Linked DNA regions of Schizosaccharomyces pombe. The protein of the gene in region 2 interacts with the protein of the main gene of each other region in a biochemical or structural test. Each region holds a gene or a part of one and is shown on either strand. Other genes may lie near its edges.

Evidence for each region.
Region 1: the proteins of tef5 (region 2) and tma19 form a complex in vitro, tested with the Schizosaccharomyces pombe proteins (one study listed by BioGRID).

Annotation. Positions count from the first base shown.
Region 1 is NC_003424.3:3,808,826-3,812,019, reverse strand, and holds tma19 (translationally-controlled tumor protein), read left to right. Parts: upstream 1-1,972; 5' UTR 1,973-1,985; coding exon 1,986-2,492; 3' UTR 2,493-2,675; downstream 2,676-3,194. Other genes in the region: SPOM_SPAC1F12.04C (uncharacterized protein), read left to right, coding at 379-954. UniProt on the Schizosaccharomyces pombe protein: Involved in calcium binding and microtubule stabilization. May be a guanine nucleotide-free chaperone (GFC).
Region 2 is NC_003421.2:1,731,048-1,734,347, forward strand, and holds tef5 (translation elongation factor EF-1 beta subunit, guanyl-nucleotide exchange factor (eEF1B)), read left to right. Parts: upstream 1-1,703; 5' UTR 1,704-1,726; coding exon 1,727-1,806; exon of another isoform or gene 1,807-1,947; intron 1,948-2,053; coding exon 2,054-2,618; 3' UTR 2,619-2,800; downstream 2,801-3,300. Other genes in the region: ribonucleoprotein complex protein Utp502, read left to right, coding at 382-1,104.

The DNA of each region.
Region 1 (3,194 bases), on a different chromosome or scaffold from region 2:
GTGATAACTGGAGAAAGTTATCATATCTTATCATTTGTAATTCTAAAAGTAAAATCGATCAACTCATAAAATAACATTTCACTTTGCTGCACTGTAGATTTTTCTTATCAAATCTATTGGTGTACTAAACAGACTAGCTAACGTTTGCTGATCCGATCGACTATAGCAGCACACTCACTCTCTATACCATAAGACGTTGCCGAACCGACATCTATCGTCATTCAAATAATCTTTGGATTTGGTAATTTTAGTCGTTTACATACGCTACTTAGTATTTTTTTGGATTTTACGCTTTTCTACTAAAGTATACGAAAATTAGACTACCTTTCGTGAACAATATAATTGACCAAATCTTAGAGCTGAAATTTTTTGAGAAATATGTCTTATATGCATTCTTTAAACCTGATGCTGCAAAATCCCAGCGGAATTGACAAAATTGCTGCCATTCTTGTCAACGTTGCGAGGTTGGATCCAGCATCTTCGAAATCAACTGCTCAACTGGTTTCTATGCTAAATGAATTTCGATGTATTTTACGTCTTCCTGGTCTCTACAAATTAATCGTAAATTTTCGTAAAGATTCTTCTCCTGAAACTTACATGAGTAACGCAATCAATATTGGATACTATGTCACAGAAGGATTGGCATTCTTAGGCGGCAAACAGATTATTTCCATATCAAAACCGTTGGAAGACAAATTATGGCTTTGGTCTTCTAGATTTTGGCTTCTCGATACTTTATTGACCATTTACCAGCTTTTGCGTGAAAAAACAGAAGACGAAAAGGAGCATCAGTTAGACTTAGCTTCAAACTTGGCTAGCCTTCCTTTGTGTATTCACTGGTCTGTAGAAAATGGAGCTGGTTTACACAAACACCAAATTGGAGTTCTTGGTCTTTTCAGCGCAATTGTACAAACTAGAAAACTAATCCTCTCTTTGCACAATAAAAGAGCTTAGTTACGAATGAGCTTTTTAAATTTAAATAGAAGTTACTTTTTTCATGTAATTCTATTCGTGCTCAACTATTTTTCGTTTTCTCGAATGTCTATGTGAGTAAAGTAGTAAACAAAAGTGGTAACAGTCGTCTTGGTTTTTTCAGCAAAAATCGAAATATGCCATTCTAAATGAAGGGACTGAATCGGTTTAAAGCTTGAAAGGTTTTAGAAATGAAGTCGATTTTAATCGTTAATCCATTCCATTAAAGCGTTTTAAATTTTGGGATATTGATCGAAAATTTAATCAACGGAAAACATTAAGTTACTCTTTGTTTGTCACCAAAATGTACCTTGTCATTTTTTTCTAATTGAACTGAATATCTTTATTAACGAGTGTTTTTAATGGCCCTGCAATTTCAAATTGAGGATGTACGATATCATACTTTTAAGTATATCATATATAAACGTTAAGGAATTATTATCAACTATAATGCACTACTTTTTTAGGTTTCTTCTGAAGCTCAGTACTGTTGAGAATGTTCTAATTACGACTCAAGAATTGACGGATAATAGCTCGAATAATAAATTTGAGGCGACATAAATGGTTACAAGTTGATTAAAGAACATAGAGATTAATACACATACTGTTAAATATGGTTCAATTGTTGAATTCATTTGGACTTTAATTCCAGCTTTAATCTTAATTTTACACGCATCATAATGGTTTCACTCAAAAAATCAGATTCAGTAATATAAAACAATTTACTACTGACTGAGTACAACGATATTTTCATCTAAAAAAAAATCTGAAAATATAAAGAATATTGTTATTTAAAAGAAAGGAGAACAGACTACGACAAATTGAAAAAAATGAAGGAATTGGTAAACAAAATGTATCTATCGAAAACAACGCTGTACTACGTAAAGTGAATACTGTTCGTAACCGCATTCCATACGGATGGCTAGAATCCAGTAACCCTGCCCTAAACTGTGACTGCTTTATCTCATTAAACCTGCGAGAAGTCAAATTATGAGCTACCATCTGCAATCACCATGTTGTTGTACAAGGACGTTATTTCTGGAGACGAACTCGTTTCTGACGCCTACGACTTGAAGGAGGTAGACGATATTGTCTACGAGGCTGATTGCCAAATGGTCACTGTCAAGCAAGGTGGTGATGTTGACATTGGTGCCAACCCTTCTGCCGAGGATGCTGAGGAGAATGCTGAAGAGGGTACTGAGACTGTAAACAATCTTGTTTACTCTTTCCGTTTAAGCCCTACTTCTTTTGACAAGAAGTCCTATATGTCTTACATCAAGGGTTACATGAAGGCTATCAAGGCTCGTCTTCAAGAAAGCAACCCCGAGCGTGTTCCTGTTTTCGAGAAGAATGCCATTGGATTCGTCAAGAAGATTTTGGCTAACTTCAAGGACTACGACTTTTACATTGGTGAGAGCATGGATCCCGACGCAATGGTTGTCTTAATGAACTACCGTGAGGATGGTATTACTCCCTACATGATCTTCTTCAAGGACGGTCTTGTTTCTGAGAAGTTCTAAATGCAAATTTGGGTTCTTATAAGGGAGTTTCTAACTGGGAACATGATATCATGTCTAAATTTTATAGTTTTGTGAATTAGTTTTCACAAAATTTCATTAGGATTAGAACAGGGGTTTTTGTTCTGATAATAATTAATTATGCTAGCTTATAATCATGTTCAAATTGAAATTAGTGTTTTTTTATCGATTTTGTATTTGGTTGAATGGAAGATTGAGGTATCGATGTTTTAAAACGTGTGTGCTAAAATTCATGAATCTATTTATATATTAACAGGCCGAAATAATTTAGTAAGTAAGGATATGGTTTGAAATTTGGTATTTTACCATTAATTTAGTGTATTTTTTTGCTTTTTATCGAAGTTGATAATTCAAGTCCTTTACGAGGAATAGCCAAACTTTTGTTATGGCGACACTAGACGACCCGGTAGCCATTGAAACTTTGTTACAGTCGAAACTATAGTTTACTGTTAGTACTAAAGATTTGGGAAATTTTTGCTCGACGATGTTATTTTTGTAGCGGACGACTATTGGATTAAATTTATGCTTAATTGTTAAGCCTTTTAATCAATCTTATCATTGAGTTAATAGACTAGTTGCATTTAATTTTGTCAATGTATATTGTTACGTTTAAATAGTAAACTATATAAGCAGTTTAAATCAACGAGTTTAGCTACAATATTCCCCTAAGTGAAATATATCATT
Region 2 (3,300 bases):
TCCTTTTTTTTTTTGGAAGGTTTCTAGCTGTAATATAGCCATTTATAAACCCTGTTTGAGATGTCTGTTTGTCAAGCGAGATTTTTTTCATGTCACTCTTTCGTCTTTTCTTTTTAACACCCGATAGGTCGCTGTATAATACAAATTCCCTTTATACATTATTAGATTAGTCTTGTTCTTTTTTGTACATGTGTTTAATATGGCTTAACAAAGTGTAATCTATAATTTCTTCATTTATCAAATTATTGGAATATTGCTAAAGTAGCGAAGTTCGAATTGTACGAGAGTAAAATTTTGAGAGTAGTGCACAGTTTGTATTCACCAAATTTCTATCCTCAACCCACCACCAGTTGGAGGTAAAATTGCGGTAGAAAGGCAACCATGGCTGCCACAACCGGTAATATTATCAAATTTGAAGAAAATGCAGATTCGAAAGATTTGCTGGAGCAATGCTTGAATTGCTCTGATGTTGGTGTTGTATCCAACACTGTTCGCAATATGGATGGTACTATTGCGGCTGATTTAGCTAGAACTTTAATCCCAGCCATGTTGATAAATATGCAGCCATCCCTTGCGATTTGGTTGCATTGGATTATTGTTACACATGGTGGATATTTGACCACCGTCATGGATTTGCAGGATTCACTTGTTCAGTTACATGAAAAGCTTGTACAAAGTGCTCATTTAATGACTAAAATTTTTTCTTTGTCCGGAAAATTAAATATGGTTTTATCTCAGGAAGAGATGAGGCAACGTCGACTTGATTTTTCGAGTGAAGATGGAGAAGAAGAGGAGGAAAACGATTACATCGATGAGGATGTGGATGAAGCAGGCTACGATATAGAGGTAGTTGATGAAGCAGAAAATGATGACATGGACAATGATTTGGAAGCAAATGCCGATGCGTTTGATGAAAGCAATTTGGAAGCTTCTTTGTCGCCAAATGCAGAATTATCACCTAGAAAAAGTCACATTGATCATGACTTTGTCATCCCGGAAGATGAAATGCTTTCTGAAGAAGAGGAACAAGAGGTGGAAAAACAAATTCTACCTAAATTTGTTGTCCCCGAAAGCCCAAGAAAAACTAGTCGCAAATCTCGGTAAAATCGGGAATACCTCTGTAAGAAAAAAATCATTCCTTTTGCATAACTTCTGTTTTCTTTTGATCATAATAAATAGAGTGTCTTGATCAATTTACAAAGCTCTACTTTTTTTCCTTTATATTTTATTGGTTCCTTGGATATTAATATTTGGTGCCATGAGAATGACGCTTTATCGTTTTATGGGTACGTGTTGGAATTCGGAAATTGTTTTTACTTAGTTTTAATCTATACATAAATAATATGGATACACCATACATGTATATAAACAAACCAAGTTTGTAAGTATTTGTAGATTGTGTGACTAACCTGCAGTCGTATCGTATATTTAGCGTGTTCATTCGAAAGTATGCCCATAATTTAATCATGAAGCCATTTGTTGGTTTGCTCAACAAATTTATAGTTCTACATTTCTTTTCATCTTCTCGAATATCAAATGTTAAGACAATTTTTGATATTTTGTAATAGCGCAATATTTTTTTCATTGTATCCAATATCAATTAGTGTAGTGCTGTATATATTAACAAAAAAATTGAAATAATATTAATTTATTAACATAAGTAAAACCTCCATAACTCTTGACAAACTACTCTAAAATTTTCTGCCAACAACCAACTACTTTAAAAATGGGTTTTTCTGATCTCACCTCTGACGCTGGTCTTAAGCAACTTAACGACTTCTTGCTTGACAAGTCTTTCATTGAAGGGTAAGTCATTTTTGTGCGGAAAATGCATCAAAATAATAGTGAAATACCATTTGATCACAAATCGTATTTTTTTTCCTTTGTTAAAAGTTCCCTATGGCATATCTACAAGTGCAAAGACTATTTTTTAAAGCCCTCTCAATTAGACACGATAGCCGTCTTTTAACAAAAAACGTGAAAATGCTTTGTTTGTATCTTTTCACTGAGCTTGATGTTTTTTAATTACCAAATCCTTTCTAACGTTTTATAGATATGAGCCTAGCCAAGCTGATGCTGTAGTCTTTAAGGCTGTTGGCGTTGCTCCTGATACTGCCAAGTACCCCAACGGTGCTCGTTGGTACAAGCAAATTGCCACTTATGACCTTGCCACTCTTCCTGGTACCGCCAAGGAGGTTTCTGCCTATGGTCCTGAGGGTGCTGCTGCCGCTGAAGAAGATGAGATCGATCTCTTTGGCTCTGACGAAGAGGAGGATCCTGAAGCTGAGCGCATTAAGGCCGAGCGTGTTGCCGAATACAACAAGAAGAAGGCTGCTAAACCCAAGGCCGTTCACAAGTCTCTTGTCACCTTGGATGTTAAGCCTTGGGATGATGAAACCCCTATGGACGAATTGGAGAAGGCCGTTCGTAGCATTCAAATGGACGGTCTTGTTTGGGGTCTTTCCAAACTTGTTCCCGTTGGTTTCGGTGTCAACAAGTTCCAAATTAACTTGGTTGTTGAGGACGACAAGGTTTCCTTGGAAGCTCTTCAAGAGGAGCTTGAGGGTTTCGAAGATTACGTCCAATCTACCGATATCGCCGCTATGTCCAAGTTGTAAGTTGTTTTACAACTAAAGCGTTCTTCCGTTTATCAGGGAGGTCCTTAGGAATTACAAAAGGATCTTCTCCTCTATATTCTAATGTTAGAGGGGAATGTGTGGATATGGGAAAGCAAATAATTAAATTTGTTTTTGGTTTATATCTATCGATTGTTTCATAAAGTACGATTTTTTTACCTCAATCGTGTTGTAAGCGTGTAAATCTGTATAATTAAGAAATATGGGGTTCGAACGGTGTATTTTATGCAATTCAAGCAATGGTAATTGACATAGAAATGTATGACAAGTTATTTTTTTTGCATCAATCATGAATACTGAAATTACGTCTCTAAAGCCCAGTCGGGTATTTACGATTGATGACTGTAATGTATGGGCAGTAAGTGAAACAATCTGTTTAATTTGGATGATCCAATACCATTTTTTTATGCTGCGGTTCTTTGCAACAGTCCTGCGTAGATCAACTCATATTTTTACTATTTCGACAATTGTTTTACACTTCTCAAAATTGGGTATTATTTAGAAAATACTCTTTACGATGAAATGTATATGAAGAAAAATAACTTTGAAAATGTATTACTAAAATGAATAAAACAACTAGCAACATATAGAACATAAGTTAATATGATTCAGTTAACAACGTTAAGAATACATTAAACAGTAGATGAGAAAAAGAATTTAAGTA